Regions from separate parts of the Mus musculus genome. Here regions 1 and 3 are each reported to be linked to region 2. The links are microRNA targets in miRTarBase. Many come from high-throughput screens and were not tested one by one. Region 2 holds a microRNA gene; each other region holds the end of a gene's coding sequence.

Region 1 (6,763 bases), not on the chromosome of region 2:
GCAAGGATTTTACAGTTAAGCCAACTGTTCTTCCTCTCCATTTTTGCGTTGCTGTTTGACACATTAGTGGTTACCATGTAGGTTTGTCGATCTTGTCAGTTCTGGTTTGGACAGAACTGGCTGCTGAGTGCTGTTTTGGCTATCTAGGTTAATCCATGTTCTAGGACCATGGCTATTCTGGAAATGGCCTATGTGCTTAGAAGAAATTGATTACAGGATCCTGGAGCATTACTCTCCAGGAGAGAGTAATTAGAGTAAGCCTATGCTCTGGAGAAAGAGAATACATCCTGTCACTTTCCATTAGAAAATTGAGGTACCTGCCTCAAGTCATTACTTTTTAAAATTTCAAAGCCTAGCTAGGCATGGTGGCACATGCCTATGATATCAGTACTTAGGAGGGGAGGCGAGCCAAAATTCAAGGCTAACCTTGGTTACATTAAATTTGAATCTAACCTTGCCTACATAAGAACACATATCAAAACAGAACTTAGCCAGGAGGTGGTTGGTGGTGCACACCTTTAGTCCCAGCACTTGGGAAGCAGAGGCAGGCATATCTCTTGAGTTTGAGGCCAGCCTGGTCTATATAGTTCCAGGACAGTCAGAGCTGTCACACAGAGAAGTCTTAGTCTTGAAAAACCAGCAAAATAAAACCAAAAACAGAATATAAAAATCTAACATTTCAACTCTGAGTAAAATCCCATCTTTGGTTTGCACTGTAGTAGGAAAATATTAGCTTTATTTGGGTTAAGCTAATAAATACATAGTACACAATAAAATTTAATAAACATCAGTAAGGGAATTTAGGGTTCAGTGTAGCTTATTCCAGATATCACTGTGTAGATGAAACACTTGTGTCCAGGAACAGCACAGATAACCACAACATACACCTTTCCATGACATCTGAGAAAAGAGGAAGGTATAGGATTTCCGGCAACCTACAGATTGGAAAAAAATTCATCCCTAACCCCACATCTGATAGAGCGCTAATATCCAAAATATATAAAGAACTCAAGAAGCTAACCTCCAAAAAAAAACCAAACAACCCAATAGAAAAAAATGGGGTATACAACTAAACAGAGAATTCATAACAGAGGAATCTCAAATGACTGAGAAGCACTTGAATGTTCAGAGTCCTTACTGATCAGGGAAATACAAATCAAAATGACCCTGAGATACCACCTTATACCGACCAGATTAGCTAAGGTCAAAAACTAAGGTGACATCACATGTTGGCAAGAATGTAGAGAAAGAGGAGCACTCCTCCATTGCTGGTGGGATTGCAAAATGGTACAACCACTCTGGAAGTCAATCTGGAGGTTCCTCAGAAAATTGGAAATAGATCTACCTGAAGACCCAGCTATACTACTCTTGGGCATGTACTCGACCATGGTGGCCTTATTTGTGATAGCCAGAAGCTGGGAACAACCTAGATGTCCCACAACGGAAGAATGAATACAGATAATGTGGTTCATTTACACAATGGAATGCTATTCAGCTATCAAGGACGAAGACATCATGAGTTTTGCAGGCAAATGGATGGAACTAGAAAATATCACCAAGAGTGAGGCATCTCAGACCCAAAAGGACATGCATAACAGGAGTCTATATATAGCACAGCTGCCCTCTGAGATGCTCTACCAGCAGCTGACTGAGACAGAAGCAGATACTTACACCTGACCAATGGTCTGAAGAGCCCATGGGAGGGCCAGTAGTCTCAACAAACCTGGAACCCCTCCCCAGTGAGATCTGACATTGAGCCACTAACCAGGCAGCATACACTAGCTGGTCCAAGTCCCCTGACACATATACAGGAGAGGACTGCCTGGTCTGGTCTCAATGAGAGAAGATGCACCTAATACTTGAGGCCCCAGGGAATGGGAAGGCCTGGTGGAGTATAGGGGTGTGTGGGGACATCCTTTCAGAGGGGTGGGGGGAGGAATGGGATGAGGAATTGTGGGAGGGCAGAAAGGGAGGGAGATAATGACTGGACTATAAAAAAAATAACAAAATAAAAAGGTAAAAAGAAAAATAACTGAATTTCGTATTAGGTTAAATTTTATGAAATTAGTAATGTGTGTTTGGGGTGGGGTCCCATGTAGTCCAGAATGGCTTTGTTGTGTAGCCAAGGTATATATTGAACTAATCCTGTTTTCATTTCCCAAATCCTAAAAACCTTCCCTTCTCTCTCTCCCCATCCATGGTTTCTTTGTAGTCCTACCTGACCTCAAACTTCAATTTGCCAATCTTTGCTTCCCAATTGCTGGGGCTAAAGGCATGCACTACTATGTCAGGGCAAACCTTTGTCAGCGGAGTCTTACACAGCTTGGGGCCGTGGAAGATCTCAAGCTTAAGCACTGTGCCGTGACTGACCAAAGGTACTATCATCCCTAGTGTCTCTTCCGTAGGAGAGAGGGAAGGACACTGGGGTTTTGTTGACCAGCTGTTACTTCAAGGTTTTTCTAGTGTTTGTGAGACAGCTTCCTAGTCCCTTTGTCTTATTTACTTCAGAATTAGTATCCCAGGTTCTCCTGAGCATGTGCCAGGATGGTTTTTCTAGGACTCCTAAGAAGGAATTCAGGATTGGCTCTTGGGCCCTTGCAGGTAAGATACCCACAACTGCCCTATATTGTTCCTGCTTTTCAATGGTCTTAGCCATGGGCTCCCTCGTAATCAAAGCACTGTGCAGTACAGGGCCATAAATCACAGAAACTAGTCTTCATTATTTGCTTCATTTGGCCTATACATTCTATTCCAGGGGAAAACATTTGCCACTGACCTTGTCAAGGCCTAATAAATGAAGCCCAGCCTGTATCAGAGAGGCAGGTGTAAGGACTAACCCAATGGGCCTTTCTTCAGCTACTGCTTATATGTAGGTCGCCACTTTATTACCTGGAAAGAGGTAGACTGTCTTCATTTTGACAACTCTGGAGAACATTATGCTATAAGTATGTGAGCTGAACCAGTCAGAAGAGCTGAGGCAGACACAGTCTGCGTTAGTTTTACAAGACACAGGGACTTCTGCACCTACTGGCTTAAAAAAAAAAAAAGCATGTTTGTCTAAATATCTCCATGTGTTGACAGTGAGACACATCCCTGAACACACTACACGTGACTGCTGAAACCAGGTCAGTAGAAACCATCGAAGTTTATTGGCGGTCACAATGCTTACACTGTATGCAGCAAACACCCTTACAAGTCTATCCGCAACCTGATCACGCAAGAAAAGATTCACCACACAGTCGCCAGAGGAGAAGGAAAATTAATAAGCTTGTTTGTGAGGATTGAGGAAAATAAAAATAAAACCTAATTGGTAATGTCCCATGGGTAAGAGCTGTACTAGAGATGTATATAACTAGCAGCAGTTGTGGGAAAGTACAAGGCAAAGAGTTTTCTCCATCCAATGTTCCTCTGTAGGTTCACTTTTCTTTTTTAATATTCAAAACATTTATTATGGTTTTTATTTTATAAAAATGTATATTTTTCAAGGGAGAATGTTAAATACTTCATGCTAGGTAGACCTTGTTATTGAGAGCCCTCCCCTGTAGTAACTTCCTCCAGTTCATACATTCATGAGTGCAGGGTACACACATAAATATCCACACACATCCACACACACTGCCTCAAAGGCTGGGGAAGACAAAAGTTATGGCCACACATATTAGGCCTCTGGTGGACTCATGCAAATTGCTCAACAAGAGAGCAAATGGCTCAATTCTCTGTCGTCTCCCTATAGAGACCAAGAATCCTAAAACATAAATCCGACTTTTAATAGCAAGAGGCATCTTTCTGAGGATGAGGGTTAAGTAAAATGGGAGAAAGGATGGAGATAAGAACACCAGAGACTTTAGCTGGAGTTATCTGTCACTGCAGGAGGCTGGGGGGCCCAGGGCAGCATCCATGGATGGGGAGGGTGGTGCTCCCGCATGGCTCAGAGTTCCTAATAACAAGGTTAATACAGCATCAGGAACGCATCAGTGGGGGTGGGGAGGGAAAGGGCAGTAAGAAAAAATATACATTTGGAGTTTTTTCCTTTTTTGCCTCTCTACACTGTGTCACTAAATATATCTCTGCACTTTCACACATCCTTGTCCAATAAAGCTTCAGGCCACCACAATGCACATTTTCTTCACTCGCCATACATCACCCCTCACGTCAGCATTGGTGCACTAGACTCTGTAAAAAGTTTTCAGTCACACTTTTGTTTTTAAACTTGAGTCAATATAAACCTTGTTGAAAACGTTATGAAAAAATGTACATGTTTATACAAGGCAGGCTGCGGCAGGGCGCCGGGCTCTCCCTGCACGGTGACCCCAGGAGCGGCCGGAGGCTCAGATGCCTGTGCGTCTGTCTCCTCCCACCACCCCTTCCCACCCCAGTCCCCCAGGAACCAGCAGTGCCCTGTCCCTCAGTGAGTGCACGCACACCCCGTACTTCCCCGTACTTTCTGGGGAAATAGCTGGTTGACTTTTGCCATTTCCCCCATACCCCTGGAGGAAGGAGCCGGGATCAGCCAGGCTCTCTCCCTTGCAACTGTTCACCCTCTGGACCAGACCAAAGGGACGCTGCTCTGCAAGGTAGAGTCCGAGAGTTGTCAGCTCATCATGTCATTGCTATTCACTCCATAAGTGGAATTCTTCATTGAGTCGTTGACCTCTCGACGGAATGCTGACAGGTTCTGGGTGAACCTGCAGAAAGGATGCATGTGGGTTGGGGGAGGAGGTAGAAAGGAAAGGTCTTTTCCTAAGCAGAGAAATGGCTACTGGGAAGCAGAATACAGCAAATCGTGCCTCATCGGCTAACCGTAGTCTCAGAACTATTAGGGAAAGGTGGTCTTATTTACACCTCTACTTTTTCCTGGAAACTTCATGGCAGACCAGAGATGGTCAAACTTGAATCTGGGAGGGCCATCTTGGGCTTGTGGCAGCAACACAGATATATTAACTGCTTGACAAGAGATGGGAATTAACCTTAGAAAGTAAAGGCAGAAATGACATGAGGTTGTTACAGTCCTCAGAGTTGAAAGACTAAGGACGTAGAGCCGTGTTGTTCAATATGGAAGCTGCTAACTATAAACGGCTAGGGAGCACTTGCCTATGGCCAGTGAGAGCTGAATCAAATAATATTTAAATTCAGTTCTCCATTCACACTCAAATCACTTTTATTTTAAAACACTTTCACTAAAATTATACAATTCAGATAAACCAGATAGTTAATTTTTGATGTCTGGTACAACCAGGGTACAGAATCCTGTATCAACTCTAAGTTTATGAAATATAATTCAGGTTAGGTGTTTCTGACAAACACTTAGCATCTCAGTTTAGGTCATTAGGTGTAACACAGAAATGCTTCTGAAGACTTACCTTACATTCTCAATAATATAGAGAGTTTACATTCTCAATTTTAAGACATCATACACCAAAATAACTGTGGATGTTTCGGGTTACCACTAAAACGTTCATGAAGAAATCTAAATTACACATGTAGCTTGCCTCTCTACTAGACAGCACTGCTTTATGCACCTCACATCTGGTCAATAGAGATGCATATGGAACTGTGCTTGCTTCAATGGTTTGAAAAATAATAGCACTTCTTGGCAAGACCCAGACACTTACCTGTCTCTGTTTTTCGTCAGAAGATTCCGTTCAATGCCTTCCATCAAATTTTCAAAACACAGATGCATGGCCTGCTGTTTCTCTGGTGGTTGGCTATTGACGATGCTGTTTCTTAGGTCAGAAAAATACTGTGGGCCAAGGAACAAGACAAAGTGAAAGAAGGCAGATGAATGTTCCCCGAAGAAGGCAGTATCTACCACAATTCAATTTATACTTTAAAAATCCAAGCACTTAAAAGATGTTTTCATATTATTTAAAAACAGAAACTTGTAATTTGTAAGGCGGCTTGTTAACGATTACTGTGCCTCCCGTCCCCTGCTGACCACGGCACAGTCACCACACTATTTGTTTTTAGGCAGGGTGTCTCAAATGGCTCAGGATGTCTTGGAACTCATGATTCTGAACTTGTGGATCCACCTTCCTTCCTGCACTTCCCAAGTGCTGGATCTGTAAGCACCTGCCCCTAGACCTGGCATCAGATGTCCTGTCAGGGGCATCTCAAGACTTGTCCTGGCATCAGATGTCCTGTCAGGGGCATCTCAAGACTTGTCCTGGCATCAAAAGTCCTGTCAGGGGCATCTCAAGGCTTGAGACAGAGATAGACCTAGAGCTTGGGTCTTAGGTGCTTTGGAGTCTAGGAACATTGCTCCCTTTTAAAGGATTTATCTCACTATCTTTTCCATTAACTGGTTGTGTTGTGGACTTTTTGCTGTTATTGTTTTCTATAGGGTCTCTCTTGTGTAGCTCACTGGCCTCAAACTAACTGTGTAACTGTGGATGATCTTAATCTTTTGATTTTCTTGCCTTCACCTCCCAAATCCTGGGATTATATGCATGGGCCACTAAATCTGACTGTGTATAGACAGTGTACTTCCACAGGAAGTAGGAACAGCATATATTTAGTCAATGCCTTCCCCCTATCTGATTGCCAAGTGGTGGTAGGAGTTTCACAGAGCCTGGAAATCATAGCCTTTGGCTTGCCTACCTTTCCTTTTTGTTTTAATAAGCTTTCCTTATTATTTTTCTTTATGTGTTTGGGTCTAAGTGCCCTCAAATGACAGAGACGTGTTAGACTCCTTGGAAATGGGAGTTAGAGATGGTTGAGTGCTATCTGATGTGGGAGTTGGGATTTAAACTTTGGTCTCTCTGGA
Region 2 (6,697 bases):
TGAGCAAAATCAGGTCACTCTGTCCCCTTGCTGACCAGAGCCTAGTCTGTAATGGGGTACCATGGGAACCAATGACCCTCTCTTGGTGAGTGCTACTTAGCTGGATGGCAATGGCTGAGCTCAAGGACCTACCCAAAGCTGATGAACCATCTTTATCATCTCTGAGATTGCTTTGGGGGACCTGCCACCAGAAGCATGTGACAGGTTGGCAGATGGCCCTAAACCCACAGAATCCTGATCCCTTGATCTTGTGTGGCCCCAAGGGAACTGGCAACAAGACTGAGTTGAGGGAGGGCCTTGTGTATGGGAGATGGCCTGGATAATCTTGCTAGTCTAATGTCATTAAAGCCCTTGTATAGGGGCTGAGAGAAGCTTGGAGAGAGAGAAGATGATGCCTCAAGAAGCCAAGGCAGAACCTGGAGAGATGCAGCCATGGGGGCAGGTGGGTAAAGTGCTTATTGTGAGAGCCTGGGGACCTGCCTGGGTTTGATCCTCAGAACCCACAGAAATGTAGAAGGAGAGGATGTAGGATGTAGAGGATGTCGTTGGGCGAGGGTTGGGTAGTAGGGAAGCCCGGGGACACCGCTCCAGGGGTGGGGAAGCACAGACTGAGGAGCAGGACAGCCAGAGCTGGCTCAGGGGTCCCTGGGCCTACAACGTGGCCGGGGCCATCTGGTTTTTAGGTTCTCAGGGTCATCTGGTTCTTAGGCTCTTAGGGTCATCTGGTTCTTAGGCTCTTGGACACCCAGGCACCACTGAAAGCTGTGGAAGAGCTGAGAACAGAGTGGGGGGCCCACGGGCTGGATCTGGCCTGGGGTTGAGGGAGAAAAGGGGAGAGCTCCAGCTGGTCCCTTGGGGAGAGTTCTTGGGTTGATGGGCAGCAGTCTTGAGCTTGACTTGGTGGCAACCATGAATGGGAGCACAGACTGTCTTCTATGGAAGATTAGACAGGGGCTCCATGGTTCCCTACTGCAGATCCCAGCGAAAAGAGACAGTCCGTGGTTTTAAGGCATTTATTGTCATGGTGGAAAGTGAATGAATAAAACCATACCCCGTTTCTCAGGGTGGGCCTGAGACCTTTTGCAGGGAGGAGTCTCTGAGAAGAAAAACTTACTGGCTAAGCCCTCCAGGCCTTTAGGTACCTCATTAAAATGGAGATCTGTCTTGAGCCTATGTGACCACAGGTCATGTCCTCTACATGTGGAGGGGCTTGGGGCATTGCCCTTACATAACTGTTGGCCACAAATCTATGGAGGGCTGTGGCTACTGACAGGGACCTGGTGCCTGGGAACAGGCTAAGCATCTACCATCCCTTCAAGGTCTCTGGGGTTTCAAGCCTTAGCTCAACTGGGAACCAAGCTACCTTTCATGGTCCCACAAGAGGACAGACTCCATCAAACAGTTCTCTGATCTTGATATGTGTGACATACATACATCTTATATACACACAATGATGATGATGATGACAACAATGAAGAAGAATAAGAGGAGGAGGAGGAGGAGGAGGAGGAGGAGGAGGAGGAGGAGAAGGAGAAGGAGAAGGAGAAGGAGAAGGAGAAGGAGAAGGAGAAGAAGAAAGAAGATACAGCCATGGCCCAGGGATGTCTAAAGCCACAGGAACTGAGAGAAGCAGGGGGATGCTCTTCTGGGCTTTGAGGCTCTGGGAGAGTGCAGTATTGCTTACATAGATCCAGCTGGGGGTTCTGAGTTGTTGACATTGGCTTCCAAGAGCAAAATCTCTGCTGCTTGAGACCAGGCTTTTGTACTTTGTGGAATGGTTGTAGGAGACCGCCACAGGATGTGATGGGCTCCTTTTCAAGCCTCTGGCTTTCACTCAGCAAGAAGACAGGTGTGAGCATCCATTTCTGAGGGCTCAGGTTCCCTTGACAGCACACTGGTTACTGTGGGAACACCTGGTGGCAGTTTCCTAGGTGGACAGCAAGGATGGCAGGCAGCACTGTGATCTTTGGGATCCTGAGGCTGTGGGGAGGATTAGCTTTTGTGACCATAGTGGATGAGGTAGAGGTTGATAAAAGGACCTGGCTTGAGGTAATACATTGGAGATACAGGAAGATACTTGATATCCTGCTGTGAATTCTGCTTGAGCATACACTGGAGTACTCGTGTGCATGTAACACACACACACACACACACACACACACAGACATCAGGCCCAGAAAAGTTGGCCTGGTCTATGACATGATGCACATCAGATCTTCAATATGAGGGACTCTCAGGGAACGTTGCAGGAATCAAAGGTGAGGCAGGAAGGTGGATAAGAGACCACCAGGACATCACCTACCCCAGGAACTGTGGGCCAGTTTTGGCTGTCACTCCATGTGTGGTCCGTGAGTCTAGAACTCTCTGGACCTGCACAATAGCGGCTTCATGTTTTCACCTGAGAGAGTAAAATGCAGCTAGAGAGTCAACATCAGCACCGTGGGCTTTGTAAACTGCAGCTTTGAGAAAGTGTGTCTTGTTAAACCTGAAATGTCACAGTGAGGATCAGGCTCAAGTGCGCGCGAAGGTGGCAACAGTGATTGAAGGCAGGCAGAAGAGAGCCGGTGCCGGGGATGTGCAGGCTGCAATATGAATTGAGCCCTTGGCTTTGAGAGCCTGTGGAGGTAAAGTGGGGCTCACAGCCACTTCCTTAGAAGTCCTGCCCTAGGAGAGGCACACCAGAGATGGACAGGATCTAACAGCAAAGGTGGCTTGGCTTTCAGACCTTTGGCAAACAGTGTATGCTGTCCAGCAACTATGCCTCCAGGAGATGGGGTACAGGAGAGATGTGAGCAGGCACCATACATTGGACCAGAAGATGCCGCTGGAACATCATAGGTCACTGTAGAAGGCAAGACGGCCACATGGATACCATGCCTCATCAGGTAGGATTCTGATCACCTGAACTGTACATGATGGGCAGCCACCCTGTCTAGGATGAGCAGAGCCATGGCCAAAGCTGTAGGCATCCACACTGCTGTGAGCAGAATCAACAACAGGGATTCCAGAAGTCAGCAGAAGTCTAAGCGGATAGCCTCTGGCTAGGAAAAGAGGACTTTGCTTTAATGGGTAGGGGCCCAGTTTTATCTTTTAGGGTTATTTTTCTTGGCAATTTACAAATTGATGTAAGATTCACGTAAAACTTACTCTGGTGGCCGACTGGATCTGGAATCAACTGGAACAGTCCTCTGGGTGCTCCCGTGAAGGATTTTTTTTTTCTCAGATTATTTGAAGTAGGAAGACAGACCTACACTTGATGTCAGCAGCAGCCCAGATAAAAGAATGGAATGAAGGAAACGTTGCTTGCTTACCATTGCTCTCAGTGGCAAGTTCAGAGGCCGACCACTGAGCATATCACCAATACCTGGACCAATTTTATCAGCCTTCTGCTGTAGACAGAGTCCCAGCAGCCCTTCAGGACTGAGCAGCTGCCAAACTCTCCATCACTCTGGATGAGCTAGCTAGAGTTGAACTACCCAGACAGCATTGTGCAGGCCAGCATGACACATCCCCTTTTAAAATGCCCCCATCCTATTGGTGCTCTTCCACTGGAGAGTGCTGTCTCCTATGCTTACCACTGTAAAGTGTCCAAGTCAGTGGCTCCTGACTATGCTGTACAACCATACCACTGTCTCTTCTAGAATGTTCTTACCTCCCCAAGAAGAAACCCCTAGGTCAACAGCAATCATGCCTTACCTTCCCTTGGCTCTGAGTAACTACACTTCTGGACACTGTATAGAAATGGTTAGACAGGATATGGCCTTCTGTGCTGTGTGATTTCACTTGGCATAGGGTCCTCAAGGCTCATCCATACTGTAGCCTGTACCAGTGCCTTGCTCTTTTTCACAGCTGGAGAATATTCCATCGGCCTGGTTCCTTGTAGATTGATTCCTACTCCTTGATGATTGCCAGTGATGTGGTGATGAGGGGGAGGATGGCAGATAGACAAATGCTTTTACTGCTCATGGGTTTGGAGGAAGGAGGGAAACTGCCCACAAAGTGACAAGCCTCTCTTGGCTGGCAGACTGGCCAAATAGAGTGGCTTACTCCTGATTGCACACTGAGGAGGGGAGGGACATTCCTGCCACTCTCTTAAGGTGCAGCAACCCTTCCTGGATACCAAGGACACTTCTCAGACCAAGTAACCAGTTTCCAGCTGGAAAAATAGGAGTTTTTCCCCCCACAGTGATGGCCAGCCTTGCTCCAGGTTGTAGGGTGGGGATACTCCTGAAACCAGGGTTCTGTTGCAAGGTGTCACAGAGACTCTAGGGCTCAAGGGGTCATGGAGAGGGGCTGAAGCTTGGCACGGTGTAGCAGGTCAGAGTCCCTGAAGAGAGGCCAGAAGGTCACTGGTGAAGGGACAGAGTGTGGTGACGCCAGGACCATGGAGATCAAGGACACTGGAATACGAGGACAATGGGAGGATCACCAAGGACAGCAGCAGCTGTGGTGTGGAGTCTGCCTGAGCCTATGTGTTATGTGTGCTGTGCAGGACAGAGCTGGAGAGGTGGAGCTGCCCAGGCCTGTAGGAGCCCAGAAGATGGTGAGCGAGGGCCAGATGCAAGACTCTGAGTTACAGGATGTAACGCGTACTGCTGTGCTTGGTTTTACTTTGTTCAGACAGAGACGGTTTCCCGGTTCTTCTCTCTTGGAATGAGAAAGTTCTTAGATTGACTTGGATTTTTTTCTTACAGGAGCTCACAGTTGAGAGACTTTGGACTAAAGAGACATTGGGTATTTTAAAGAGACTGGTCTTTTTTTAAAGTGTTGAAATTTTTAAAAAATTGTATAGGTATGATGTTTGCCTGGTTGTATGTCTGTGAACCATGTGCATGCAGTACTTGTGGAGGCTGGCATAGGGTGCCAGGTGCCCTGGAAGTGGAGTTACAGACAGGTGTGAGTTGCCATGTCGGGGCTGGGAATAGAACCCAGGCCCTCTGAAAGAGCAGCTGTTGGTCTTCATCCCTGAGCTAACTCTCCAGCCCCAAGTGCTGAAATTGTTAAAGACTACAGGAATTTAAGTCACACTTAGTTTTTCATTGTGATATTAACATAAGATCTTGGAGATAAACAGAGAGGATGTTATTATTTAGTAATTATGTATTTGTGTGTCAATTTGGCAAGGAGTCAGTTTCCTGGTTAGTGACTTGACATAAGCTAGCGTTGCCTGGGAGGAAGAACCTTAGTTGAGGAATTGCCTCTACCAGATTGGCTTGTAGAAGAGCCTATGGGGCTTTTTCTTGATTAATGATTGCCATGGGAGGGCCCAGCCCACTGTAGGCTGTGCCAGCACTGCGCAGGTGGCCTTCAGTTGTGTAAGAAAGCTGAGCAGGCTCTGGAGAGCAAGCCCGTAAGCAGCGTAAGTTACTGAGGAACACTGCTTATGAGCTTGCACTCCATAGCCTCTGCTTCCACTCCTGCCTCTGGGTTCCTGCCTTAGCCTTCCCTATTCTCTCCATGATGGGCTGTAAGCTGTAAGATGAAACTTTCCTCCCCAAGTGCTTTTGGTCACCTTGTTTATCACAGCGATAAAAAGCAAACCAGAACAGAAGGGGTGCTAGCCAGGGGGTCCCAGCTTCACTGCACTGAGGCCACCCACAGAATTCACAGCCCCCCCAAAGGGACTATTCAAACTTGAGCCCTTCCCTGTTCCTGAAGGCTTGGCAGGAGGTGGAATGAGTTGGCGCAGGCTGGCCCTCTGAAGGATTGCCTCTTCTCCATGTCATTAGTGGCTCTTGTATTGCTTTGGAACGTGGCCTCCCGTGTGTGGGCACTCTCAGTCAGGTGTCGGGCCTGCCTTCCTCTGCTTTAGGCGCCGAATGGAGTAGGTGGCTGAGTTCTTCCCTTCTCTTAGCCAGCAGCTGCTGAGCCGCACACTGAGCGCTCTGCGGGCTGAGGCTAGTGTGTCCTGAGCTTCTGCTTCAGTAGCTTGGGCTGCTCCCATGGAGAAAGAGCAAGATGGACTTGGGAGCTTTGCAGGCTGGGTCCCTGTGCCAAAATGGAGGCACTGGCCAGGATGGGTGGCAGGCTGAGGCTGCTCCAGGCATGGAGGTTGAGGATTATAGAATCTCAGAGCATTCCCTCACCTTTCTCTGCCCCTCCTTGCGAGATCAGGTGTTTTGCTCAAGTGGGACAGAGTTGGGGGTGGGGAGGTGGATAGAGGGACCTCCAGACCGCTGCTCTTCAGCTGGTGGCCTCCATTACCAGTGTGCTTCATTTATAAATCCAGGCAAGCAGTGCCTTCTCACCTACAGACCCAAAGCCCCTTAGAGTCTATCAAAACATTCTTTCTTGGGGATTTGAGTTTCTCTCGTCTACCTCATTGCACAGAAGATAAAGAAAAAATTTAAGTTCTCTGAAATATTCTAGAATAATTTTAAGCTTTCTTCCCTCCTCCCCTTTCCATGTACATGCATGTATGCATGTTTTGCATGTGTATAGGCACACATCTGTAGGTGTGCATGCATGTGGAGGCCCCTAGGGTTGATGTAATCTTCTTTGATCACCTTTACCAGCTTAGTCTTTGAGGGTCTCTCAATCAAACCCAGAACTCATCAATTGGCTAGTCCTGCTAGTCATCTTGCTCTGGGGATGCCCAGGCTCTGCCCTCTGGAGGCTGTAATTACAGGGGGGGGGCTGCCATATCTACCTGATATTTGTATAGGTTCTGAGGATCTGATCATGGTCCTTACATTTG
Region 3 (6,555 bases), not on the chromosome of region 2:
CTCCCAGTGGCTCACAACCATCTAAATGGTTCCAGAGGATCTGACCCTCTGAGGGCACCAAGTATGCACATGGTGTGTGTGTGTGTGTGTATTCAAAACACCAATATACATAAAAATGAAAATAAAAATAAAATTTACCCTTGGGTGAGTATATCTTCCGGAGAGCACACCTACCTTGTCTGAGTAACATCTTACTACCTTTATCACTGTTGTCTTTCAATCTAGTTACTAGCAATCTGGGAAAATTGGACAAAATATAGTTTTAATCAGAGTTTGGTCAGAAAGCCTCTCAGCCAGCCATACCTCCAAACTCTGTGATCCACATAAGCCCTGGACCTGGGCTCAGCTGCAGCCTATCTCTGCAGTTTGTACATGTTTGCTAGTGTTCTTTCTGTTCAAGCAAGCATGCTTGTACAGTCCTGAGGTGGTCTTTTATTTTTCCTGATACATTATAACTAGCTTCACGTCTGAGAACTAGAAAAGGCCTGACACCTGGCTGCTTCAGTTCCTCAAGTGCACGAGGAAGGAGCCTCCTCCCTGTGTAAACAGGGCATTTGAGAGCACAGCAGCCACCCAGCTTGGCCACAACATGTTCGAGCGAGTGGTGGGTGCTTCCTCTGCTGTCTCCTCCAAATGTGTTCAGTCACTCACTCCATATCTAATCAGAGAGGCACCAGGCTGAGGCCGACATCTGGAGCCAGCCTTTCCCATGCCTGATTAGGAGAGGGAAACCAGTCCCCAGAGTCAGCACGAATCCTGTATGCAAGGTGCTTGCTTTGTTTGGCATAACTGCATTAACTGTGATCAGCTTGCTGACGATTCTAGCTGCTGAGCTGAGCATGCAGCAGACATCACTGGCCAGTTATGCATCACGCTGCTGTCCCTGGTCCTTGTGTAAAACACTGCTTCCTAAGTGAGGGTCAAAGAGAACTAAGTCTAAGCAGAGTGCTTGGAGATTGTGTGAAGAGAACTATCCATGTGTTTCAGGAGCTGAACAGGTTACGAAAAGCTGCCTTAGCCTTTGGTTTCCTGGACCTGCTTAAAGGGGTGGCCGACATGCTGGAGAGGGAGTGTACCCTGCTGCCGGACACAGCCCACCCAGACGCCGCATTCCAGCTCACCCACGCTGCCCAGCAGCTCAAGCTGGCCAGCACTGAGTATGCCATATATGACCACAACATCACACCCCTGCACACAGACTTCTCAGGGAGCAGCACTGAAAGAATGTGATGCTGAGCTCTGGAGCGTTCCTTCACGTTCACTTTGTCTGAAGGCAATTTAGAGTTAAAACCTTCTCCAGCTCTATCAGAAACAGCATTTGCCCGTCTGAATGTTTCTACTGCAGTCTGAGAAAGGTCTGAAGGCTGGTTGTCTGGGGCTCAGTCTCTAGGTCCAGAAACAGCCTTTGTTCCATGATAGGCACAGCTCCTGAGAAGCTTGGACAGATGAGGAGCGAGCGCAGGAAGAAGCCTAGGCAGCCAGGGCCGTCTAGCATCCAGAAAGCGACTCTTCATGTCTCAATTACAAGGACATTCTTAAACTTCTGTGCTTGGAAGAAGCAATCCAGATGTCTAGAACTTGCCTAAGTACAAACCCGATGCCATTGAGTTTCAATTTTTTTCTTAGAACTTGTTAAAATACAAGTGGCAATGCTCAGGTGCTTCTGGTGTATCCCAAGGTACACATTTTTAGACTGTAACCACAATATGTGTAAAATCACTCCTGTTCATGTTTTTAAATGAAAATTAAATATTTGATTTTCTATAGTGATTGCACTTAGAAACAAATGGTGTTTTGATCTATCTTATCCCTTGAATATAATACAGCTTCCAAAATGTCAGACTCCTAAGAAGCAATGTCTCTCGGGTCCTGTGTAACTTCCTAGTTTCTGACAGTGATCAAGCTTTGTACCTCAGCAAGGTTCTGGCCAGTGGTTCTGAGAGCACTGATGGGAGAGTCAGGCCTCCCAGGCTGTGCCTGCACAGTGCTCACCCAGTGCTTCGTGACTGCCTTCAGTACTCCCTTAGGCTCCTGCCAGAGTCACTGTGCCTGAACAAAGCACTTTACCCATTTAAAACTCATGAGATTAAATGATGTTTAAGCACAAGTTATTAGGATTTTGACTGTAAATGTTTTAATAGAAATACACAATCTTTCACTTTCTCAGACAGCAACAAAGGGGATGCTAACAGCAACTAGAACATGGGAGTTTGCACAGGGATACGGCATAATTGACTGCAAAGCTCAACTGCCAGGTTTGTCCACAATCAGTGAGGGAACACCAGAAGGTAACACAACAATCGCTGACGGAAGCTGCAGACTTGGGAAATACTCTTGGGTGAGATGAGGTGTGTCAAAGCAGCCAGTTTAATGCCAATCCACTCTGGGCTCACTGCAACAGCAGAAGTCTCCTTCCTTTCCCCCCAAGAACAAGGGGAGTGGAAGATGGAAGCGACCACTCTCAGGCTCTTTTTTCTGGTGTTACTTCACCATAGGTTTACATGGAATGTGGTAGAGAGACTGAAGCTGTCTTGAACAGTAGCCAACCTCAAGGTCTGTATTCTGCATGCACACAGTTTGTTGTTGTTTTTAAACCGAAAACAAAACAAAACAGGCTGTGGTGGCTTTTGCCTTTAATCCCAGCACTCAGGAGGCAGAGGCAGATGAATCTCTTTCTGTGTTCAAGGCCAGCCTGGTCTACAGAGCAAGTTCTAGGAGAGCCAAAGCTACACAGAACAACCCTATCTTAAAAAACAAAAAAAGAGAAAAAAAAATCTAACAAGGAAAAAAACAGTTCAATAAAGTAATCTCACCAACCACTCAGAAATACACAAGTAAATGGACTGAGCTAACCCCAAGAATTATAGATTGATTGTGTGACTGTGTGCAGCCCAAGTAGGTGTTTGTGTTTGCCACAGGCATCATTACCACAACTGATCCTGCCTGTCTCCTGCATCTCTGTTCCCTTCTGACCCCTGCAGCCATTCACATTTGGACTTCTAATCTCTGTTGCGCAGTACTTCTCCCTTTCTCCAGTGTTGAAGGCAGTTCTGATTTAGCTAGAAATGAAGTAGTCATGGTGTTCCCAGGTTCTGATTTCGTTCTCTAAATCACTCTGCCTCTTCAATGCCTGGGAAGTGCTATAGTAATGAATGTCTTTAGCTAAAAGGCATCAAATATGAAGTGTTCTCCAGCCCTACTCTGACTCAAAAAATGTCAATAACCATGTTTATCTGATTTTCAAAAAGTCGGTGCTATGTAGTCTTGTTTTTTTTCGGTTTTCACAAGTGGCAGCAGAAAGACCAAGCCCTGTGAAGACAGACAGTGCCTGTAGGGAGGAGCAGACATGAAGAGGGCCACCTTTGTTATTAAATACACAAGAATGAACTTGTCCTCAGATACCAGATATCCATGTCATGCAAGTACAACACTAAGATAAGGACAGTAGACTCAGGAATGTTACTGGGAAAGAGAGACAGCCTTACTTTAAAAAACAAAACAAAACAAACCCTTATATCAGTACAAGAAGTAGAAGAGTAGGAATCATAGACTCTGCTCAAATGAAGCTACCAAATTCATCTTTAGTGGAGCTTTTTCTTCTTTTGTCCATACCGCCTCCTGCGCTGTTTATAAAGGTGACGAAAATTAATATATAACCCTAGGGGAAAAAAAACCAACTGATTAGAAATGTCCTTGTGACAGGGAAGTGAGTTATCTGCTGTTTGTGCCCAGGCCTCACGGCACTAAATCTATTGCTCAGATACAGCGGAACCCACAGCAGTGCTGCGAGAGGTGTCCAGCCCTGCAGGGGCTTGTGGCCTCACTGCTCATGGCCTCTTGTGCAGGGTTAGACAGAGATAAACCTTGTCTACTGAACAGCTTCTGGATCCAACTTTCCATCAGACTGTGTGTATCTCATGCCTATGATCTGTTCATCTGACTCTCATGTTTTGACACATTTCAATATTAATATAGTCATCAATACAGTTCACCCTACATAGATGATTAAGTTAACGATGGTTTTTGCCTGTTTTCCCCCCATACATATGTAATGAGTGGCTAAATCAGAGCTGAAGGGCTATTCAAGAACTGACTTTTTTTTTTTAAAGAACTTACTTTTTTAAAAGTAAGCTACAGTCTGAAAGTACAAAGCAGTATGTGAGGAAACAGGATTTCAGATGCCAGTTTCAATTCTACTTAACCAGAAAGTTCTGTAGCTTAGCCTCACCTCAGTTCCTTCAGTTGTACAACAGGGATAAAAACACATCACATACTTACTATGAAAGAATGTGCATAAAAAAATTCCTTGACCTATGAACATATACTACCTGGTTAAGACCCAAAATTTACAATTTTGGATTGGTTTAATTTTGAATAATAACATGTACATATCTTTCTATTAAGCAACACTAAAAAAAAGATAGGTCATAGGGTCACTGCATATTAAAATATTTCCACTCTTTACTGGGTACAGGACCTTACTCTATTGCCTGGGCTAGCCTTGAACTTAAGGCAGTCCTCCTGCTTCAGTCTCCCTGCTGCTGTGATTACAAATGTGAGCCACCACACAGAATTCTAACTTTTTTTCATAGGGCCTCCTAAGTAGTATAACCTCCCACACTAAATCATGGAGACCACTCGGCTTTTTAACCTCTCAGGCCATTTGTACTGTTCATCTTCTGTTCAGGGTGGCAACCTCTTAGATGCTCACTACTGATTCCTTCCCTCCCTTCTCTTGCACTGAGCCTTGCCAGTCTGAAGACAACTCTTGTTATCTATCAGTGGCTACGTCTTGATGAATACAGTACACACCAAGAGAGCTAGCACACTGGCAGTGGCTGAACCCACTGTTGCCTACAACGCAGCTATGTTTATTTAAATCTACCAAGTCAAATACATAACCTAAACACCGATGCTTACAGGAAATCCTTGAGTTACGGTGGCTTTCGAGTAATTTTAAGTTTATCTCTTGTTCCGGTTAGTTCTGAGCTTTTCTGAGTTAATCTAGAATTCATGTTGGATACAAACCTACTAAGGCGGCCATAATCAGCGGGGCGCTTCCCAACAGAGACCATCGCCACCTCCCTCCCCCCTCATTTGCCACGCCTCTACCTCCTCCTCAGCCCCAAGTAGGTTAGAATGCAGGCAGCAGGGTTCTCATCTCCTGCTCTTGTTAGAAGAGCTCTTAGTGGGTCATCGGGAGATACTGTATGGTATGCCTCAATATCCACATATATGACAGACTCGCACTGACAGAGCACTCACAATTCAGCTACTGCAGACCTGAGAGAAAGATTTCCACATGCAGCAAACTCTCCTACTGGGTCTGTTTGCACAAATAAAGCCTTTCCCTGGCCACTCTTTCAGAAGTAGAATTATATTAAGGGATGCTAAAACTGAACCACTTAGCTCTCCTGTCTAAAATATGACAAGAGACGTACTTACCTAAAAATAACATTACGAGATAAACTTGAAGGAAGAAGGAAAATCTGACTTTCATCTTCACTGGATATGGCAAAGTAAAACTGAACCTTCCCGACTCGTTGAATACTGGAATGGACTGGATCACTGCCACAGCTGAAAGCAAGCAAGCAGTGAGAAGCAAATGGAACACATGAGCTTCCAGCACCTCGGGCTCACAGCTCCAGCCTGAGGCTGCAGGAGATGTCTCCTACCCGCCTGTACAGAAAGCTCCCGGGTTCTCACATTGCCTCTAAGCTTCCAGGAGACTGATGAGAACAGCCCAGCACTGGGCTTCTGTTTCCTCATCTATAAAATGGGAGGAAATTTTGTGTCTGATCTATTCACTAGGGGCTGTCATAATAAAATGAAATTACTAATAAGATCTCTCTTTGGAATATTAAGAATAGCTTGTAAATAAAAAGCATGCAGCACAGGAGCACCCAGCTTCCAAACCTTACGCAATGAGACCCATGTCTCTGGAACAGTCAGACAAAGAGTATGGAAAAAGGCCATCAGGAAGAAAGGCCTGAGGTCTTAATACCACATTGATTAGATTACGGCTGGCAGAGAGGAAACCAGCCTCTTACCACATGGGCACCCCTGAGAGCTATACTATGAACCTAAAGTTTTTAAAAATACCTTCTGACAAACATCCCAGGGGATATAACGGAATCCACATAGTGTAACGGAGCCACGTGAGCACCTTCCAGTCCATGTCAATGCAGGAGAGCATGTAGAAGGGATACCTATGGAAAACAGAAATCAAAGACAACAGCCACTGCAGGCTCTGAATTCCACCCTAGATGGGCATTCTCACACACCAGGCTGTGAAGTCTATGGGCAGGCTCAGTGTATTCTTCAAGGAACCCTCTTTGTTCAGCTCCGTGCTGGATGCTTAGAACATAGCTTTATTCCTAGCTCTCATCTATGTTCCTAGTAGGGAGAGATGCCTAGCTGCCTCTGGATAAATGAGTAATTCTATAAAATTATACAAAAAGCCTCTAATCTCGAATCAGAAATGCTCAGGCTTAAAGAGACATCACACTGGGCATGGTAGTGCATGTCTTTAAGTCTCATCGCAGAAGAAGAGAC

The links. Region 2 holds the annotated microRNA mmu-miR-3105-5p (AGAGCAAGCCCGUAAGCAGCGU, at 5,340-5,361, shown strand). A microRNA usually pairs through its seed, bases 2 to 8, with sites in the 3' UTR of a target mRNA and lowers its output. Matches are read on the target gene's strand: a 7mer-m8 pairs with bases 2 to 8, a 7mer-A1 pairs with bases 2 to 7 and ends in A, and an 8mer does both.
Region 1: miRTarBase lists Xpo7 as a target of mmu-miR-3105-5p. The part of its 3' UTR that is shown has no 7-base or 8-base seed match.
Region 3: miRTarBase lists Hacd3 as a target of mmu-miR-3105-5p. Seed matches in the 3' UTR shown: 7mer-m8 at 2,703-2,709.

The regions. Positions count from the first base shown.
Region 1 is chr14:70,661,410-70,668,172 of GRCm38, forward strand. It overlaps Xpo7 (exportin 7), which reads right to left. Exons shown (of 28, transcript NM_001359888.1): 27 at 5,613-5,740; 28 at 717-4,685. The coding sequence ends at 4,592. It also overlaps a transcript of Npm2 not described here. Among named protein-coding and RNA genes, the nearest start is that of Npm2, 12 kb to the left of the region's middle.
Region 2 is chr7:144,003,928-144,010,624 of GRCm38, forward strand. Mir3105 (microRNA 3105) reads left to right here and starts at 5,327; the gene lies at 5,327-5,411. It also overlaps a transcript of Shank2 not described here.
Region 3 is chr9:64,984,872-64,991,426 of GRCm38, forward strand. Hacd3 (3-hydroxyacyl-CoA dehydratase 3) reads right to left here. Exons shown (of 11, transcript NM_021345.2): 9 at 6,103-6,209; 10 at 5,446-5,577; 11 at 2,112-3,658. The coding sequence ends at 3,582. Ints14 (integrator complex subunit 14) reads left to right here. Exons shown (of 13, transcript NM_001077631.2): 13 at 988-2,110. The coding sequence ends at 1,230. Among named protein-coding and RNA genes, the nearest start is that of Gm25640, 16 kb to the left of the region's middle.